Linked DNA regions of Schizosaccharomyces pombe. Changing the gene in region 2 together with the main gene of any one other region gives a genetic interaction. Each region holds a gene or a part of one and is shown on either strand. Other genes may lie near its edges.

Region 1 (6,572 bases), 2.5 Mb from region 2:
TACGATTAACGTCTGCAAGGAAACGATTTCGTAGAATGGGATTAGTTGCTTCATCGGCATCCTTTCTACGTTTTTGAATAGAAGACTCCAACTCTGAAATAAACTCACGAACAAGTCTATTTTGTCGTTTATTTTCGCGAGTCTCATCGTCAGCTTCATTTTCCTCTTCTTCTTCTTCTTCCTCCTCTTCTTCTTCTTCACTAGCAGATTCTTCACCTGCGGCACGAGGTTCTGCTGTTGACTCCCGAGTATCTTGACTAAGCTCAAGCATACCCTGTTCAATCTGTCCAGCCAAATCGTCCTCATCCATACCATCAAACATATCAGTTTGCACGCTTTGGTCGTCCCGATCGATGCTGGTACCACGAAGTCCTGCCATTCCATCAAACGATGTATCCTCTGAAAGAGCGATGCTTGAGTCACGAGCCAATTGTGCTTGATCAATCAACTCATTCGATGTACTTTCAGCGCGTTCATCCATTGCAAGCAATCGGTCAACCTCATTTTCAACTGCTTCGATTGTTCTGTTCGAAACACGTTTTCGAAATCGCTTCTGCCGCACCCAATGCATTGGCGTCGTCAATCCATGTGGATAAATGTAATCAGCTTGCTTTAACTGAGTATTGAGAACAGAATTTTCGTGCTCGATTCTTTCTGTAGCTATCAACATTTGACAGATGTCAGCAGCCTTGAAGATAACTTTTTTGTCGAATGATTTATTAGATTCTATGATGCATGGCAAATCAACTAACTTCGCAGCGTACAAATGACCATTAACATGAACAACCGCTCTTCTTTGATCTAACTCTGTTAATAATAATATAGTGTAACCAAGTCATTACCTTTGAACTTCACCCATATGTCTGCACCTCGTCCCACTTCCCTATTTTCAATTGCTTTTCGAACATACTCACAATCTTCACCAGGAGGAAGACGTAATATAATTTGTTCTTCAATATAAGTGTCTTCTTCTCTGTCAGAAGCTTCTGAATCATATCCTAAGCCAGGTTCGCGAACTCTTTTTAACCGAATTTTTGTCAATCGAGGGCCTTTAGGTTCACGTGTCTTGATCTTAATTTTAGGAATTGGGGGAGGAGGACCAGTGGCTGGAGTGCTAGATCGTGAATCATTTGGAGGAGGCTGAACAGCACGAATTTTTAGCTTAACCATTTTCGAAAACCGCCTTTTGAGTAATTGTCGTTGGCAAACGCTCGATTAGCAAGTCGCTAAACCTTCAAGTGAGTCTCGTTATCTACTACTAACGAGCCATAGTGATTTACAACATTTTTTTAATACAATCGTTATCTGCAAACACCTGTCAGCTACGCAGTTTGGTATCTATTTAACGATTCATAGAACTGCGGTGAGTTTCTCTTGCGACCTACAGTATAGCGGTATGTGGTATGTTTAACTAACAATGTATATTTGTTACTATAAGAAGTCCATTAGTATCGATCACCGACATAGCTAAACTACTGAACTGAGGAACAAGGTTCGGCAGTAGCCCTATTTATAGTATTCAGATAATAAAAATATTAATAGATTATTATTAAGGTCAATCTCAATACTGTTTCATACAACGATGAATGATTAGGACATGTGTCATATAGTGATACTCAACGTAGTGTATCCTTGAGTAATGTATTGTTGACAACACTACTTATTTATCCCACAGTAAACAATGTAAATAAAGCGCGAAATTGTTGATCGATGCAAAGGTTAAGGTAAAAAGGGTTTTCAATGTAGCTAGGAATCCGGGATTTACTCACTTATTATACCATTTGTAGCATACTAATCATATTGAGTTAGCATATAATATAATAACAACGAATGTTTGACAAGGCCACTAGCGACAATTGTATAATACGTGAAAACAAATCACTTTAGTTATTTAAAGTTTTCTAACATAGGAACATTATTAATTGTAATTACATTTAAAACTTTTGAAATCTATCACAATAAAAAGCGATTGCAAAAAAAAAAAAAAAAAAAGGAAGCAACACAGATGATGTGCATTGTAACAAATAGATCAATTACGGTGAACAACTTTAATACAATACAACTAACAACGATAAAACATTCATTTGAAAAGGGGAACAATTTTTTTCATTCGTAACAAAAATAAAGCAAATTATTCATGAAGTTATAAGGGGCGTAAAAAACTTTGGAGTAGGCCGAAAAGGTTGATCATTAAATCACTAGATTAACGGGAAAAGCTTACAACTTTTTTAAAAAAATAAAAAAAAGGAAGAAAGAAAAAAGGTAAAAAAAGTTCCAAGAGGAAAGGAAGCACACGAAATAAAAGACTACTATAGAAAAAAAAACACTCAGGACATTAATGATCAATGAAGAAAACCCGCTTAAAAATTTCTTTTCTTCTTTTGGATTTACTAGGGAAAATTGAAGCTGGGGATAAAAATAATGCCTATGGATGAATGTCGGTCAAGTGAGGACTATGACGAGAAGGGGGTAATCTAAAACGCTCGGTCCATCCAGTTTGTTCTTGCCATTTTTGTGAATAGGAGTCAACGGCTTTAATAGCGTCAGCAATTTGAGATGGATTGAACTTCTTTGACATGTTGTGAATACTCTCATCAGGTCGCAAAGTAGCTCTACCTACCATCAATAACTCTTCATCGGTTACGTTGGGAATACCAAGTTCCTCAAGGGTAATGGGAAGATGACATTTTGCCATAAAAGAAGCAAGATTATTGAAGTCTTCCAACGGCCAATCCTCCAAAACAACTTGAACTAAGGTACCGTAAGCAACCTTTTCACCATGCATTAAACGATGAACGGGACCGTGGATGGCGGTCATACCGTTATGGATGGCATGAGCAGCAGCAAGACCACCGTTTTCAAAGCCTAGACCAGACATCAATGTGTTGGCCTCGACCACGTTCTCAAATGCCTCGGTACAAACACCGCGAGTGTTGGAAAGAATAGCGCTCAGGGCATACTTTTCAAGAGTGTCTTTGCAAGCACGGGCAATGTAACGGCCAGCAATGGAGGCCACACCTCCGGCAAAGGAAGTGGAATTTGAGCGAATAACGGATTCAGTTTCCACCCAGGTGGACAAAGCATCACCAATGCCACTAATAAGGAAGCGGACGGGAGCGCGAACAATCACATCGGTATCGATGAAAATGAGGTTGGGATTAAGGGGGTAAAAGCTGTATTTTTGGAATTGACCGTCAGGAGTGTAAATGACGGAAAGAGAGGAAGTAGCGGCATCAGAGGAGGCAGTAGTAGGACAAATGATGGATGGAAGATTCATGGAATGAGCAATATACTTTGCGGAATCCATGGTTTTACCACCACCAACTCCAATGATGACTTGAGTATCATCAGGGCACTGTTTGCGAAGTTTATCCAGTTCCACCAAGCTTGCCTCGCCGCCAAAGACCAGTTTGGTGACAGTCATTCCGTTTTGAGAAAGAGAATCGACAATTTTATTGGCACAAATGTTCCATACGTTCTGGTCGGCAAGCACGACAGCTGATTTAGTGGCCCATTTTTTGACATACATATAGGATCTAGTGAAGGCATGACGACCCTGAACATACTTTTGAGGAGAGGTGAAAATGCGATCTTTGGATTCTTCAAACTCTACACCAACTTTGTGAGGCGTCTCCGTTTCAATAGGAGCATAAAAGCGTTTGCCCCAACGTTGTGCAACGGCATTGGAAGAGGCGAGCGCAAATACTTTAGAGTTCCTGTGGGCGAGGGAAACGAGAGGGAAGCGAGGGGTTGCAGCGCAAAGACGAGGACCAATCATTATGAAGGAAGTTCAAAGACTAGCTAAGCGTTACGAATAGAAATCGAATCAAATCGAAGAAAAGAGAAATACAAGAATAGGCGTGTGGAACGGTTCTTACCTTTCTTGAAATTTATTTCGATACAGAAGAATCCTTATTTAAAAAGAAAAAGGAAATAGGTAAAGAAGCACAAGTAACTAAGAAGGAGAGAAACGCAATGGAACAGAGGTCCAAAAAGAAAAAACAACTATATGTGTATATATATACTTGTTTGCGGAATCAATAGACAGTCGAAAGATCACGAAAGTTCCAAGAATGAACGGGATATATGATCTCGGCTGGCCAAAAAAAAAGGGATCGACGTAGTCAATGGTGATTGTCAAAACTAGAATCAGCCGATCGACGGTAAACGGGAAGAGTAGGAAGAATGAAAAGAGAAAAAATATTTAAAAATTAAAGCAACGAAAGTTGATTAAAAAAATAATTAAAGAAAAGAAAAAAAAACCCAAGTGGTAGTGAAAACTTGCTATGGTTTTATTTTACAATGGAAAAAGCAATTCTGTTAAAAAAAGAAGAGAAGAGAAGAGGTGGATGGATGGATGGATGGATGGGGGAAATATGGAAAACTGCGAAAGCAATAACCAAGAGCAAAGAATTCAGCGCTGCCCCTCTACATATAAACTTGATGAGAGGGCGATGACACCACACATATCCACCGCAATTGCCAGTTCCCCACTGCGGAAGCCAAACCCAAGCAGACAGGAAAATAACGTAACAAAAGATGAGGCAGGATAAACCCATGACTCGTTGGTCTCATAACTGCGTCATAGGGGCAAGAAAGACAACGTGGTATGCAGTACAAGACAAAAGCTTACTTGCTGAAAATCTGGGGAAATATATACAACAGCAGTCATTCGCCAGTTCCTTAATAAACGCTCGCTAAAATGACGCGACAAAAAATGAGGAGACAGGGATGAGCAGTGCCACTCAACGGCGAGGGAAAATGGGAAGAGTGGAGAGAAAGGCGGGGTCCTGCTACAATTAGAAAGCATTTGAAGAAAAAAAAGTGGATAAAAAAAAAACAAACAAATAAACAAACATTAAGAGAGACGAATAGTGGGGAGAGTGGTACAATTAGATTGTTTCTCCCCAAGATGGATAGATAATTTTACTGGTATCTGCCCCACCTTTTCCCATTGTCTCATTGAGATCCCCTCCATTCCAGCCCCAGCATTCTTCCTCTAGTCTGCAGTATGATTTCCCTGCTCCTCTTCCTCCAAAAGTTTTAGTGCCGACTTTAGATGATGAATGGCTGTCGTTGTGTCTTCGTAGTCTAATGCACTGTATGCATAGCGTGCATGACTTCGAGCAGATTGGATAGCCTCCAAGGCGGAAAACTTGTTCAAGGGGGAGGCTTTAGTCGGTTGAGATGGCCTTGATAGAGGGGCATTTGTTCTTGTTGTGGCTAAAGTTGACTTGCTGGAAAATGCTACTGACGGATCGATGGAGGTGGAGGTGGTGGTGATTGACGTAGGGGAGGGAGGCCGATGCCCATCTGATGTTTGCTTTGACTCAGGAGATAAACTTTGGATATGCGAGGAAGAGCGAGTGGAACGAGTAGGATCTATTGTTGGCAAATTTTCGGTTATTGATGTAGTTGAGGGGAACGTGGTAGGCTCATATGAATGGGAAGGTGAATTTAGTTGTGGAGCAGCCGGTGTTGAAGACAACGATTTTACGTCTGCTTCTACATTAGGCTCGGAAGATACGGCTGCAGACTTTGTAGGAGAGATGGAGAGCGATGCTGCTGGAGATGTAGTGGGGAGAGCAAAAGATGTTTCATGAGAAGCAGAGGCATTCGTTTCAACGGCGGCTTCTTGCGTAGGTAGGGTTGTGGAATTTGTGGAAGATTGCTGTAACTCCTCGGTCGCGTGGTTTGAGGGTGTTTTGGCCTTTCGTTGGGGATTTGCGACTTGGAGCGCACGTAACTTGCAAAATTTGATTGACTTGGTAATCTACGTAGCAATAGGGGTTAGTAGGGAACAAAAAATCGTTATAAGCATCATAAAGCATCGTTGTATAATACAAACGAGAGAGAAAAATACCGATAGGAAGGAAATCCTCAGAATGGCAAAAGAAGAAACGAGTCGAAAAAAAAAACACATGGTAATGTGAATTGGAAAAGACGATTTTGTTTTTGACAAAACAAAAATAAAAAATAAAAAAATTTCCAAAGAACCTTCATTTTTTCATTTTTGTTGATCGTGGTTTTCTTTTTTTTTTCTCCTAAGTTCTGCTCGTTACTCTTTTTCATTCCGTCTCACTTGCTCTCGCTGTTTTTGACTCACGTACCTGTTCCGTAGGTGGTCCCCAGATTCTCGACAACTCTAGAAAATCTCGGGCTGCCAAATACGCTTGCACATCTGGTTTCCCGTTTTTGCTATTTCTTTCGGCCTGGACAAGAACTTCTAGGGAAAACGATTCAACATACGCCTTTGCACTAGTCTCGTCACTCACATTCTCATTCTCGCCCAAATTTTTACGTAACTACACACGCCATAGAGCGGTTAGTACCACAGAAACATTTACATAGTTGGTCTCGTAATCCAAAAAAAAAAAAAAAGAGAAAAAACCCTCGCCAACATTTAAAAAAAGGAAAAGGATGTTTTCTAAACTTACATCTTCTAAATGCTCAATGAGTGACAGCAGGAAATCCTTGCATTCGTTGGAAACACCGTGTGAGCTGGAAAGCGCCATTTGAGCTGCCCAGTATAGACCTAGTAATAGTACAAGTTAGTGAATCAAGCAAATGAA
Region 2 (7,562 bases):
AAGAATGTTATCACCATCAAACTGCTGTAGTGTTTCAAAAGGGGTTGTAACTTTTACATCTTCAGCAGAAAAGTAAGCTTTTAAATAGCATTCATCTAAACATATATTTCTCAGGATTTCCTTTTCCTTAAAAATATTGAAATTCTTCGAAGCTTCTAAATAACTACGTATTTCATTAGGAAAATCTCGAGCTAGCTTCAGCGTGTTCAAAAATGTCAAGGAAAATTCTCTCGCATCATTCAAAATAAGCAATTGATCTTCACATTCCTGTAAAAATATGTCAAGTCCCGAAGATATATTCGCCTGATTAAGCAGAATCCATGATGTGACGACTGAGACCTTTGATAAAGAAGAAGTCATCGCTTGTTTCAAACGATTATTCAGATAATTTTTACACGATTCAAGTCTATTTACTAATATGTGGCATTGGTGGTCGTTTGGTAAATCTGCAGGTAATATTCTTAGGCAGAAAATCAATAGTTTGGACGATTGCAAATATTGCTCCTTATTGAACAATTCCATCACAAACAAGATAGCATGTGCATAAAATCTCTGTAAGAATATAAAATAATCACCAGACGTTTGCGATATACTTTCATTATCGGATAGAAACTTTGAGACGCGATCCACTTTTGGTAAACTCACCATGGATTGAAATTCGTATGAGTTTTGCAAAACTTTCTCCAGATTATTTCTAATGTTAGAGAGATTTTCAGAAGCTTCAATAAAGCTTTGATAGTTAAAGCAAACATTCTGTTGCAACTCTCTTCCTTTCTCCTCAATCTGCTGGCTGACGAACTTTTCTAGTTGAATAGTTTGAGCAATGCTATGTGTTCTAAAAATTTCTTTCCAATTTGAGGAATGTGAAGACATAAGATCCGTTTCTACCATTTTAAAACTACTTCAATGAATAAGTCAACGAGGGATAAGTAATTGTACGGGTAAAAAAAATTTCAAAACAAAGTTCATAGGAAACTGAACATAGGTTGATAAAGTTAGCTGGTTTGCTTATTATTGTTTGTATGTGTAACGTACAGGAACTGCATATAACGACTATAAATAGCTTGCTTATAAACAATTTCCAATACGATTGGGTAAGAAAGAATCAACTATAGGTGTTTGACAAGGCTAGTATTTTGTATTGAATTACTATGAATTTCTGGTATCATAGTAAGTATGTAAATGAATTATGGTCATTTACATGAGTTAGTAAATCAGTTAGTGGGGTGCTCAGCATTTTCGTTAAAGAAATTACCATCGTATTGTTCATTGTCTCTCATTATTTAACAAACGCTATAAAATGCTAGTGTCCAACTATTGACACAGTGTAATTACTACTATCTATTTCAATTAAAATAAAGGCTTAGTTTCTGACTAGCATAGTATGCCAATCTATTGCTTGGATATTGGACTACAACTGTGTGTCTCCCAGTTCTAGGTAGTTGGAGTGATTATATGCCTTTTCTAGTCAGTAATAAATTTTCAAATATCTCGTATTACTTGTATGTTATGAGTATTGAAAGCTTAAGCTGAAAATACAAAACTCACACCCTTTTGAGCATGCAAGAGACTGCGATACTGAGTTTCTCTTGCGATTAATACATTTGTTTATGTAAGTATATCAATCGTAAATAGATAGTAGGCTACAATCAAAATATTGCATGGTGTTTATAATTTAATTTGAAATGATTTATTATTGGTTGCGGAACGTGGGTTTAGTTAGGCCATTTACAGTTTCTAATGTGACTATAATCACTTCAAATAAAGTATGCATATCTACCGTACAATAAGTATAAATACTTAATAAGACATATAAGAAGTACTGATAATTAACGTTCGTAGTCTAATTTACTAGGGGCTTGTCGACACGTAGCATATAGTAAAGTGTTAACGCTAACTGCATGGTAGTTGAGCGTGGCAAGTGCTGACTTTGATAACGCACTACGTAATCCAAAATGACAATTATTCATCCTGAGGTTAATTAAATTTTATGCCTTCCAAAATTCACACTATCGAAGGTGATATTCATAGTAGTCTTTAGTCATTTATTAGTTATTAATTTAAAAAAAAAATGAGTGCAAATTTACAGAACGAAAACCCGGAAGTAAAGGAGTTAAATCAATTGCCATCTAGGGTTGAAGAAGAAGAGGATCTATTGTTGAGTTCTACGAAACAATGGCTAACCGAGATTGAAAGTGAGCAGACTAACATAAAGGAAGAAAGAGATCCAATAGATCCACAAGAAATATACGACCTTCTAGCTAAAATAAATGATCCAGAACATCCATTAACTCTTGCTCAGTTATCGGTCGTCAAATTAGAAGACATTGAGGTTGTTGATAATGTTGAAGGCGATTCTTATATCACAGTTCACATTACTCCAACTATCCCTCATTGCTCTATGTGCACATTGATCGGTTTATGCATTCGAGTTCGCCTCGAACGCTGTCTTCCTCCCCGTTTTCATGTCGATGTGAAAGTTAAAAAAGGTACCCACGCGAGTGAGTCTCAAGTAAACAAACAACTGAACGATAAGGAACGAGTGGCGGCTGCCTGTGAAAATGAGCAACTTCTATCTGTTTTGAATGGAATGATGGCGACCTGTGTTTAAGCGTTTGTATATGACAATAACTTCTTAGTTTTTTAATTTTATCGGATCCCTGGTTGCTGTTCCCTTTATATGGATTGGTATATAATCTTTTTTTTTTGTTCAACGAAATCAAGACCTTTTCTTTCATTTATCACTAAAATATCACTTTACTAGTTTTGATACGACTTACAAGTAGTATTAAATTTTTGTGCACAAACTCACAATTCAATATATAATTGGTCATGCGCATTTATTAAAAACAATTAGCATTTTTTTGTCTGAGAAAACAGACATTGGAAAATGCCATTCATAAGTCATACTCATTGACTGTCATGCCGGTGCTGCTTTCGATCAATTCGTAAATTGAGGATGAAGAAAGGCATAATTGGGGGATATCCTAAATTATTTGTAAGTTGCAATGGACAATGTCAGAAATCTTACCTTAGCTGGTACATTCATATAATAACCGTAAAAAACCCGTATTATGCTTTTAGAGCCGATCAGCAAAACATCACGCTGCTCCCGACCCAATTCCAGTATTAAAGGCTCTAAACGAACAGCCAAATCATAAAATGATTCTTTCCGTTTAACTCTATATCTGTAAGGATCTACAAGGTAAAGATTATACTCTTCTTCGCCATATGTTTCTTTTAATTTCTGTAAATCGTCTCCAAATGAATCCATTAAGATCGGGGAAAGACTCGACATAGATGAGGTAACAGAACCCAGTTCTCGAAATGGACTCATTACAGAGTCCTCCATGCAGGATAATACGTGTAAGTTTTTGAAAGAAACATCTGGGAAAGATTTACGTATACGATCAGCTACATATTCAGAAAATTGGCGATTTTCTATGTCATCTTCTGGTTCTCGTAATTTTAACGGTCTCATAGAAGCTTTCGGCACCAAAAAGATACGTTTTCTCGCCAAAGTCATGTTCATGAGAAGGAACAGTATTCTAGACAATAGGTAACCTTCATTACTTTTGTTTGCGATGATGGTTTCAGCAAAATTAATCATTTTAACAAAGGAATAGTCCTTTTCATCAATGGTTTCATAATGGCATTTGAGAATATCAATTCGACGACAATATTCTTTTTCGGCCATCTCCAAATCCCAATTTCGAAATTCCTCAGAAACATGAATTGCTTCTTGAATATTCGCATTGATGACATCCTCTTTATTGCACAGACTTTCAATAAACAAGATTTTAAACCCGCAATTCTTGAACCTATCATATAAAATACGACGTGTACGTCTAGTACCATTTGTTGCATCGTAAATAGCAACCTGACCTTTCTCTTTAAGTAAAAAAATCTCTAAGTCTGCTAAACATCTCTCAATTGTGTCATTCCTACTAAAAACATGATTTTCTGATGCAGCTGTTATAAGTTAGCAAAGGTACAAAACGTCGACTATAGTTTCAGCTTACCAGATTTCACAGGCGAACTAGTCATTTCCCTAGTGCGTTCGTCTATGTATTTCGCAAGACTGTAAAATCTACAATTAAATCCCAACCACCTCAGATATCTGTCTATCGACACAGCAATATTAGACTTGCCTCTAGCCGGTAAGCCAGACATGATGATTACGAGCTTTCCGGCATGAAAGAGCATACCGCTCTCTGTACTGTAGGGTTGCACACCTCCAAACTTTTCATTATCGAGTAAGGCTTCAGAGCTTCGATTGGCAGCGCGAAGCATGTTTGGATTGATTGCCTGCTCAACCGCAATTGAATTTCTGCGCGACATCGCAACGTCTAATCAAAGCAAGCTGTTTATAATTAGAGTTTTAATATAATATATGCGATTATATATAAATTATTTATAAATTAAATAGGAAGGTCCAAAATCTGATTGAAATGTACTTAAATCCTTTGCAACCACAATGTTTACAATGTGTGCCTTGTATGTGGGTATTTTGATAAATGATTTCCACAAAGGTGAAATATGCAGAATGTTGTTTACAATGAGTGTAATACCAATTCCTACTAAAAACTGCGGTTTGCAAGAGGTCGACTGCTTATATACAGAGAAGAGCTTCTTACAATTGATATGGGCACAATGCTCGTTTAAGACGGATGGCTAAACATCGGTAGTGCTTTACGCAATACATCTGTGGTTGCACTTCGTTAATTAATTTTTAGCAAAGTTAAGCGTGCCCTAATATACCGTACATATCTGCAATTGGAAACGCCCATAGGAGTTTAAGATGCGTAGCTTTCTAATGGTGGGGTATTTTCGCATACTTATACTACATGTTTTGCATTTGCAAGTTCAGTTGATTTTTGATTATTGAAAGTGGCATTGAGAATTACTGAACACTTCCCAACAACTCATAGATTTTTTTAGCCAATTCCATGATTAAAACATGCGAGTACCTAAACGCATGTATATTATTTTATAGTTGTACTTCATCAATCGTCTTCTCTGCGTCAACACTTCTTTCTGCACTTTTACTTTTGAAATAACGTCTTAATAGCTATTATGGTTTAAAGACTAGACTATTATCTACGAAAAAGCGTTTGTAAGTAGCCCACATTGCATTCGTTTATAAATTTATAGTCCAATTGAACGAAACGAAAGATCCATGTAGAAAGGTCATTGTCTATACGGTTATACTCCAATCATCTATTATAATATGAGTCAATTCCCTTGCCTCTCTAGTTCCAACAAATGCTTAAATTGTATATGTATCTGCATCGCGACTTTATATATGATCGACTTCGACTGGAAAACGATCTTCATACACTAAGGAATTTCACAACAATTCAAACACAGCTTTTACAGTAAATGCTCATACTTTGTTGTAAAACATATGAATTGGTGTAACATTAAGTGTGGCTTGCAGGCGAAAATACTCTTTTATAGATGAACAAAAAAGTATTTAAATAATTATATTTTATATGAGAAGACCAAGTTATTTAAGTTTGATCAACAGAGATGTTAATCAATCTGTATGCCAAAACTTGTTACCAATGGACTGTGTCTTTGAGGAAGGGTAAGGCCTGTTACGTACGCGCTCCTTCCAAACATGGTGGGTAGGTATGTAGACAACTTCACCGGAGCCATCACGAAATTCCAACAACAATGGATAATCATATGCTAAACCGAATTAGTAAATCACCGATTCTTCCAGTGGTGTCATATTGCATGGCTTCCATATTGATGACTTTGACCAATAAATATGTTCTTTCGAGTCCTGGTTACAATATGAACTTTCTCCTTTTGACTGTACAATCCACTGTTTGTGTAGCAGCCATTGGGATACTAAAACGTTTGAAAGTTATTAATTATAGGGATTTTGATTTTCGTGAGGCCAAATTTTGGTTTCCTATTTCCTTTTTATTGGTAGCTATGATTTATACTGCATCGAAGGCTTTGCAATTTCTTTCTGTTCCAGTGTACACTATATTTAAGAATTTAACTATTATTATCATTGCTTATGGTGAGGTCCTTTGGTTTGGCGGGCATGTTACTGCTTTAACTCTTTTTTCTTTTGGATTAATGGTTCTTTCTTCTATTGTCGCTGCTTGGGCAGACATCCAGTCTTCCTCATTTGCTTCCCAAACCTTAAATTCTGGCTATTTATGGATGGTGCTTAACTGTCTCACAAATGCTGCTTTTGTTCTCGCGATGCGTAAGCGTATCAAACTTACCAACTTTCGTGACTTTGATACCATGTTTTATAACAACTTACTCAGTATCCCTGTTTTGGTTATCTGCACGCTCTTTACTGAGGACTGGAGTGCTGAAAACATTGCTCAAAATTTCCCTCCTGATGCCAAATTTGGTGTTCTAATGGCTATGGCTATTAGTGGTGTTTCTTCAGTAGGAATTTCTTACACCTCTGCCTGGTGTGTACGCGTAACTTCTTCGACAACTTATAGTATGGTTGGTGCTCTTAACAAACTTCCCTTGGCTATTGCCGGTTTAGTGTTTTTTGATGCACCCATCACTTTTGGATCTGTTACCGCTATTTTGTTGGGCTTTATTTCTGGTGTTGTTTATGCCGTTGCTAAATCTCAACAGCAACGTCAGAAAGATCCTGCTACCATCCTCCCTATGACTCATAATCCCGTTAGTGCTAGTTCTCAAAGCATGCGCGATAGTCTGTCAAAGTCTTAAACCCTTTGTGTTGGTTATTATTTATGTTTAATTTGCAAAATTTTTTCAAGCCTGCATAAGAGAATAGACTTTGTTTCTTTTTACTTAAAAAGTTTTTATTACCGTTACTCAAAATATACCGCTTTTACTCGTGTTCGATAAAAACCTGATTACGAGATCGTGTCGTTTATTACAACGTGACTATTAGGTTTGAAATATTTTGACAGATAAAACACTGACATTCAATTACAATTTTTAGACCTCTATTATTTCATTTCCTAAATCATTTGCTTTTTTTTTCTAAATATCATTTCTTTCTTTAAAATGCTCTCCGATGGAAAAAGGACGTCTAATGTTCTTATGTCTTCGTTTCCTTTTACTGAGCTTCTAAACTATTGGTTGAATGTTTGTCAGCCGCTTGGAGTCGAATTGTTTAGTGATTCAATTTTACTAATATTTTACCTCCAAAAAATTATTTGTTTTTTTGTATATTATTGAAATACTGTAATAAATACAAATACGATAGCTAAGTTAACGAAATGTATCGTGCTAAAAGTTTTCATAGGCCGTCACCTTTCAGTAGGCAAAAACCTACCAACTACCAAAAACGAAGTACAAGAGGTAATTCGTTGCTTGAACTGTCTGTTCAAGTTATAAAAAAATAGGATTTCGGTTTTCGGATTTTTCATAGTGTGTACAAGAACCTTGGGTATAAAAAACTTTAAAACAAATTTTACAAAATGAGTGAGACTGCTGAGAAAGCTATCGAAATTTGGAAAATTCGCCGTTTGGTAAAACAATTGATTAACTGTCATGGAAACGGCACCTCAATGATTACGTTAATTATCCCACCTGGCGAACAAATA
Region 3 (7,709 bases), on a different chromosome or scaffold from region 2:
TGAAATCATTTATGGAAGAAAAACCAATCAAGGCAGCGCATATTAGTAATATTTTCACTGCTCTATTAAGAGCGGTAATTCAACTCGGTCTACCAAAGTCGTATATATAATTAAACCTAATTGTTTTAAATTTTTCGAGAATAAGAAAAAGAGGCCTTTATCTAATAGTTAAAGATGCAGCGTACTAAACTCGTCACTTCTTTCTCGTTATTACTTTATCAGCCAACGCAAAAAGTGCCTTCCTTGCAGGTGAATCAGGGAGACACAGAAGGGAATCTTTGGCTTTTTTGATATATTCTTTTGCCCAAGTGATGGTTTGCTCGATAGCATCAGTGCACTCAACCAAAGAACGAGCCTAAATTATATGTTAGCAATTGAAAATTAACGATAGAGAAAAGGAAATCAAATAAATAAATAAAACTTCAGCTTCTCTTACCCGTTGGATATCAGAAGGATGATTGAATCTATTCACAATCATTGCACCAAGTTCTGGATACTTTTTCCATGCAAAGAGGACGGGAGCTGTAGCCAACCCTAGCTTCAAATCTGCACCAGCCGCCTTTCCTAAAGTATCATCTTTCGACGTATAGTCCAACACGTCATCCATTAGTTGAAAAGCAGTACCAATGCATCGACCGTATTCTCCAGCAGCTGTTGCTACAGTAGGAGAACATTGTCCGAGGATTGTAGAAGCCTTGCAGCTTTTGGAAATTAAACTGGCTGTTTTCAAAAAACTTTTTTCAATATAATAGTCAAAATTTGATTGTTTTATTTCCAAAGATGAAGGATCCATAGTATTTTTTAGCTGCAAAAACTCACCTCGAACCAAGTCTGCTATCACTGTAGCTAACAACTCCGTAACTTGGGGATTTCGAAGGCGGGCCATAGCAGTCGAAGCCCGTGCAAGGATGAAATTACCCGCAAGGATTGACCGTCGATTACCGAAAGCAACATTGCTTGAAGGTGAGCCTCTACGGACATTAGCGTGATCAATCACATCGTCATGCAGCAAACTTGCTATATGGATCATCTCGGTTATTTGTGCTAATCTCAATTGAGAAGGAAGAATTTGACCCGTCGAAAATGATCTTAAATCATCATCATCAATATATTTGTCGCCCACTACGGACCGATCAATACCATGGCACAAGCTTGTAGCTTTGGACATCAGCAAAACAAGAGAAGGACGCATTTGTTTTCCTTGAGCAATGGTATAATATTTAGAACACTCTTCAAGAAATTCTGAATTTGAATTCAGCATTTGACGAATCCCTGGTGAGATTTGTTCCAACTCGTTTTTAATTAAATGTGAAGCATTGCGGTTCGTAGTAGAAAACCGAAGAACAGTCGAACGGACTTTTCCAAGACTCCATAATTTCCTCATATGTTTTAAATATACATACTGAATCATTTCATTTCTTATTTTCAAAAGTAACTAAATGATGAAGTTAGAGTTGGGATGGTTTGTATATCATGGTATTTACCGTGATTTCGCTTAGATATGACGTCGCTTTGATCAGATAAGTTTATTTCAAAGAACGGAAGAATCATTAAATAGTTTGTAAACAAACAAAACATTTTTTAATTATCGTTTTTTCTTCATACCATTCTGATCTTAAGTATTTTTTCTGAAGAATTCTGTTGAGTCAAGCAGGATATTGAGCATCTTCCTCAGAGGCCAAATTCATTATCAAAACTTACAACAGCTTATACATCAAATCAGTTAACAATAAAATTCACAGATCTATTTGCATATGCATCTCTCCCGTGTATCATTTTTTATACGACACAATAATCAAAACAATTTATACTTCCAAATTGCTTCAATATTCGATGGGAGAAGTGCTACTTGGTTGAATACTCAAAAGCAGAATATTTAGATAAGTAAATGAATCTTATACTACAACTAATTTTTTTTTGGCGAAGTTAATATAACAGCTTCAGGGAATCCTCTATATGTGTTGATCTTCCAAGAGTTTCTCATCTTACTTGAACAATTATTGGTTCTAGGAATTTACGAATACATTGTTGATATTTTTTAGGTATTTTAATAGCTTTGTAACACTGCTTTAACAACATAAACATTTCTAAATGGTTTGACATGCGTGAAATTTTAATTGATCAGAAATTGCTTAAAAGCATTTTTACAAGTTTTAGTATTTGTAGGATCATTTAATAAAAATAAATTACGTACTTTTCTAGTCTACAAAACGATTCGCCTGCTAAGATTATTGTCATTGTAGTACAAAACGTTACATTCATATTTGTTTTATCACATTTTGACTTTTGAAGGCTTTTAACGATTAGGCGCCCGACTTTTTTCACCATTCACTTCAAGAATTTAAAAAATAAAAAATTTATCAACATTAAGTGCCATCCCGTTCCTTTCAGACATAGCTGATCTGTTTACATCTCCCGGGCCTCAAGTATTCTTAAAAAAAGCTCTATTTGAGCGTTAAGTTCAACTAGAGAAATTTTTTTTAGAATTTGTAGGTATATCAAAAGATACTTAAATTTTCGCAAATTTGTTCTCATCGAAAACCGCTTGGCTTCTGTTTTTCAGCCAGTCGAAGGCGCTCGATTTTAAAGTGCTCTCTAATCCACACTACTAGCATAGCGATGAAATGATTAATATCGTTAATAATACGTTTTTTGTTGTAAACAAATTTCCGGATTTGCGAATTAGCGGGAAAAAAAAAAGAGTGTGAAAGAAAGATATTTACTCATCTATTGAATCTATGAATAAAATGATTTTCTCCAATACGAATTCCTTATCAAATAGCTTTTGAAGAGATGAAAGAAAACCAGTGGCTGAAAAGTAACAGCGTTACTTCGAACATTCTATGGGATTTTTAACGACAAGACAGCACTTTTGACATTTGAACTTGCCAAAAGCAAAAAAGCCATTGACGAGTCGACTGCGGAAAATGGACTCAGACTTGGATAGAATACTACCGATAGCATCAAGAGCATTATTGTGTGAAGGAAATAGGGATTGGGCTGGTGCGTATGTGAGTTACTGCAAGGTTTTAGAGGAGATGAAGAAGTCGTCGGCAGCTCGCGATCGCATGGGATTGGGACCTTTGACGGGCGCAGAGGCATGTTCTTGGAACGGGCTCTATGACAACTGTTTGAGCAAGGCAAGCAAGCTGCGTAAGACGATTTTGGAAAGTGAAATGGAAAGGCAAAATTATCAACTTGCAGCCAAACTTTCAAAGAAGGCGCCCGTTGATCTTCACCCCTTACGTCCAGTAAGATCTCAAACACCTGCGTATACCCCCATGACTACTAGGATGATGTACAGACAGACGAGAGGTGCGCAGTCGGAGGTAAATTTATCTACGCCTAAGCAAATATATTCCAAGCATTCGCCTCCTTCTACCTCCACTTCATCCATTGTTTCTTCTTCCTATGGAGATGCACCTTCTTATCTGGCACCCTCTAAGCCAAACCGTTCTCCACCCCTCAAACCCGAAGATCCCTTTGCCTCTTTCAATTCTTCTGCTTCGGCCATTGCTGCTGCTTCTAAGAGTGCTGCCGCTTCTGCTTCTGCTCTTTCTTCTGATACAGGTCGTTCTGCTACCATGAATTCCACCACTTTTCCTACCGCTATGAAAAGTCAGTCTACGACTAAACCGACGCTTTCCAATTCGGTATCTAGCCCTTCTATTCAGGTGTCAAACAATCAAAATGCTAACAATAGCACTCCCCTCTCCTTCCATGCGCCAATTCCTCCACTCCATGTTCCTGCCGTCCCCCTTACGTCTGCATCGCATTCATCCAGCGATGGAAAATCGCGCAAGCATCCTAGCCCATATAAACCATACTTAAACTCTTCTCATGATACCCTTGGTTCTTCCACTCGACCGTCTTCCGCTGACACAGCCGGATCACCTGCTACATCTCCTCCGGCAACCGCTGATTCTAAGACAATTGTGTCAAAAACTATCTCAGCTAGTACTACTCAACAAACTGAACCTCTTCAACAGACCACTCCTTCAAGTGATTTTGAATATGCTATTATGAATGAAATTATTTCTAACCATGAACCTGTCTACTGGTCGGACATTGCCGGATTAGATGACGCTAAAAATTCCTTGAAAGAGGCAGTCATTTATCCGTTTTTACGCCCGGAACTTTTCCAAGGATTGCGTGAACCCGTACAAGGCATGCTTCTTTTTGGCCCCCCTGGCACCGGCAAAACCATGCTTGCTCGTGCTGTTGCGACCGAAGCGAAAGCCACATTTTTTTCGATTTCGGCTTCATCATTAACCTCGAAATATGTAAGCAAGTTTTATATTTAACCCCATTCTTAACTAACCTTGATTTAGCTTGGTGATTCTGAAAAGTTGGTTCGAGCCCTTTTTGAAGTTGCGAAGCGCCAGACATGTAGCGTTATCTTTGTTGATGAAATTGATTCCATTCTTTCCGCTCGTAATGACAGCGGTAATGAGCACGAGAGCTCTCGTAGATTAAAAACAGAATTTTTAATTCAATGGTCTTCGTTAACTAATGCGGCTCCGGACAAGCAAACTGGTCACTCTCCCCGTGTTTTGGTGCTGGCAGCTACAAATCTTCCGTGGTGTATTGATGAGGCTGCTCGACGCCGATTCGTTAAAAGAACCTATATTCCGTTACCTGAAAAAGAAACAAGATATAAACATCTTTCTCATTTGCTTCATAATCAAGTACACTGTTTGACGGAGGAGGATCTGGAAGAACTTGTCAATCTTACCGAAGGTATGTATATAAATAATTCGATTGGTTAGTTAACTAACGCCATCTAGGTTATTCAGGCTCTGATATCACTGCTTTAGCCAAAGACGCAGCAATGGGTCCTTTAAGAAACTTGGGTGATGCTCTACTTACCACCAGTGCAGAGATGATACCTCCGATCAGCTTGAATCATTTTAAAGCTAGCCTTCGTACTATTCGTCCAAGTGTCTCACAAGAGGGTATTCATCGTTACGAAGAGTGGAATAAACAATTTGGTTCGCAACGTTAAAACAACTTTGTAGAGTATTCTACCTTTAATATTTTCAAGAAATCATATATTCTTTTGCATCAAAAAGGCAGGGTATCCTTTAATTTATTCAAACTTCCTTTCTCTCTTTTTAATTTTATCCTTTAATGTTTCTTAACGAATCATTTGGGTATCGTTTTTCTGGATATTATGAGAATTACCGTGCATTTAGGGATTGAATCGTGGATGCTGATTTTCATGTGGTTTCAATAACTTTCTTTTGCATAAACTTGGCTTATTACGAATTTTAATTTCTGTTTACCTTCATTTTATTTTCGTCTTTCCTACAACAACTAAAATGTATTCGTGATTTGACTATCGCTATAAACGACATTTTAAATCATAGCCGACTTGACAGCGCCTTTTACAAATGCTCCCCTTTTGTATTTTCCATCAATTCTCTTTATTTTATTTTTTCCATTTATCGTCATATTTATTTCGTTTACATACAGCCTCAACCTATTGGGCTACTTTTTTTCCCTTCACTATTCTCCAATTTTGAACAATAATTATTAGTTATTTAATGTTTGGAAAAGGGTATTGCTTTACTTGAATCGCATTTTTACGGCAATTAACTTATAGCTTTTATTGAAATAACATTTCAACCTCTTGTTTGTATACTGAATTAAATGTTTTAAAATTTATTTAAAGGTCATAATAGTAGCGTTTAAAGCATTGCAGGTTGAAAATGAAATCATGAATATATAGAAATTGGATTTCAGTATTCGATATTGTCACCTTTGTTACTTCTGGGAGTGGGTGTTTCTCACCGAATGGGTTTGACTTGACATGATTATTGAACCACTGCTTTATATATGTAAACGTGTTTTTGACCTTAGGACGTTTACCACCTTTAAAAGAGCTACATAAAGAGCGGAATTATACAATAGTACCGAATGGTTCCAAAGTTGTTTCAATCGAGCCGTTTTAAGGCATTTAAAAAAAGCGAAACAAGTGAATTACAAAAGGGACTAGTTTCTCAGTATGCCTACGAGAGAATTGATGCTGTGAAACGGACTATTGCCGCAATGACTGTTGGCAAGGATGTGTCTAGTCTGTTTCCCGATGTTTTAAAGAACCTAGCTACTCGCGATATCACCTTGAAAAAACTGGTTTATTTATATCTAATTAACTATGCCAAAACACACCCTGATCTTTGTATTTTAGCCGTTAATACTTTTGTAAAGGATTCTGAGGAATATAATCCTACTTTACGAGCTCTGGCAATTAGAACTATGGGTTGCATTCGGGTAAATAAAATCATTGGCTATTTGGCAGATCCGTTGCGAAAAGCTTTGAAGGATGAGCATCCCTATGTTCGTAAGGCTGCAGCGGTTTGTGTTGTAAAGATGTATGACCTTGATCGAGAATACTGTGCATCAAATGGTTTCATCGAACAATTGCAGGCGTTGGTATCTGATCCGAATCCTGTGGTTGTGGCTAATGCAGTCCGCTCACTTGCTGAAATTCATGATCAGGACCCTGAAAAGGGATATTTTAATGTAGTTTACACGATGACAGACAGGCTAATGGTTGCTTTGAGTGAGTGTAATGAGTGGGGTCGGATTACTATTTTGAATTCTTTAGCTAGATTTCGCACTTCTGATATCAAGGAAGCTGAATATGTTTGTGAAAGGGTGGTTCCTCAATTCCAACATGCAAATAGTGGTGTCGTTTTGTCCGCTGTGAAAGTCATAATGGTACATATCCCTCTCTTTTCCAGTGACTTTACAGACTTTCTGTACAAAAAAATGGCTCCTCCTCTTTTGACGCTACTTTCTACGGACTCAGAAATCCAGTATGTAGCCTTACGGAACATTAATTTAATATTACAAAAGAGGCCTTCTATTTTTGATGTCAAAACTCGGGTTTTTTTCTGCAAATATAATGATCCTCTTTATATTAAAATGGAGAAACTAAAGATAATTACAATGCTTGCATGTGACGAAAACATTAACGAGACCATTTCCGAGCTTCGAGCGTACGTTTCCGAAGTTGAACTAGAATTTGTGAAACAAACGATTAAATGCCTTGGAGACGTTGCATTGAAAGTTCCAAGCGTCATCAATGATTGCATCTCCATATTTCTTGAAATCTATGAGTTAAATATTAGTTATATGGTTCAAGAAGTCACGGTGGTGATGGAAACGGTTTTGCGCAAATACCCTCAAAAGATTGACTTATTACTTCCATATCTTTCTCGTGTCATTGAGGAGCTTGGTGACCCTAGAGCCCGTAGTAGTATGGCTTGGATTTTAGGGGAATTTTCACACGTTATACCTACTTCTTCTAAACTATTATCCGAAATGATTTCTACTATGGCGGATGAAGATTTACAGATTCAATTGGCTTTACTGACGGCTGTTGTAAAATTGAGTTTGATGAACGGCAAAGGAAACGATGAAGAACTCGTACAGAAAGTATTAAATTATGCAATTAATCAATCAAGCAATCAGGATTTAAGGGATCGTGCCTTTGCATATCAGCGGTTGTTGACACCTGAAAATGTTCGTAAAGCTCAAAAAATTGTTTGTTGCGAAAAGCCTTCCGTATCTTATAATAACAATCTACCTGAGGCACTTTTGGATGCTCTGTTGTGTGAAATCACAACTCTTGCTTCTGTATACCATAAATTACCGGAATCCTTTATTGGCCAGGGCAAGTTTGGCGCAGACGCAATACAGCG

Evidence for each region. Genes that interact genetically often act in the same process or in processes that back each other up.
Region 1: mutations in SPOM_SPAC144.17C (region 2) and gld1 together harm fitness more than expected from each alone (negative genetic interaction), as found in Schizosaccharomyces pombe (one large-scale study listed by BioGRID).
Region 3: mutations in SPOM_SPAC144.17C (region 2) and knk1 together harm fitness more than expected from each alone (negative genetic interaction), as found in Schizosaccharomyces pombe (one large-scale study listed by BioGRID).

The regions. Positions count from the first base shown.
Region 1 is NC_003424.3:2,172,583-2,179,154, forward strand, and holds gld1 (glycerol dehydrogenase Gld1), read right to left. Parts: upstream 3,991-6,572; 5' UTR 3,779-3,990; coding exon 2,426-3,778; 3' UTR 2,059-2,425; downstream 1-2,058. Other genes in the region: transcription factor TFIID complex subunit Taf7, read right to left, coding at 1-801, 843-1,170; vta1 (Vts1 family protein), read right to left, coding at 5,000-5,773, 6,111-6,305, 6,438-6,535. UniProt on the Schizosaccharomyces pombe protein: Glycerol dehydrogenase involved in the assimilation of glycerol.
Region 2 is NC_003424.3:4,684,491-4,692,052, forward strand, and holds SPOM_SPAC144.17C (6-phosphofructo-2-kinase), read right to left. Parts: upstream 4,664-7,562; 5' UTR 4,342-4,663; coding exon 4,023-4,341; exon of another isoform or gene 3,973-4,022; coding exon 3,032-3,972; exon of another isoform or gene 2,988-3,031; coding exon 2,898-2,987; 3' UTR 2,612-2,897; coding exon of another isoform or gene 2,072-2,611; 3' UTR 1,812-2,071; downstream 1-1,811. Other genes in the region: COG complex subunit Cog1, read right to left, coding at 1-891; cia2 (sister chromatid cohesion protein), read left to right, coding at 2,072-2,611; GDP-mannose transporter Vrg4, read left to right, coding at 5,680-6,717; cytoplasmic translation release factor class I eRF1, read left to right, coding at 7,437-7,562.
Region 3 is NC_003423.3:677,845-685,553, reverse strand, and holds knk1 (AAA family ATPase), read left to right. Parts: upstream 1-2,887; 5' UTR 2,888-2,927; coding exon 2,928-4,283; intron 4,284-4,315; exon of another isoform or gene 4,316-4,331; coding exon 4,332-4,740; intron 4,741-4,787; coding exon 4,788-5,005; 3' UTR 5,006-5,651; downstream 5,652-7,709. Other genes in the region: decaprenyl diphosphate synthase subunit Dps1, read right to left, coding at 194-355, 437-1,411; AP-1 adaptor complex beta subunit Apl2, read left to right, coding at 5,920-7,709.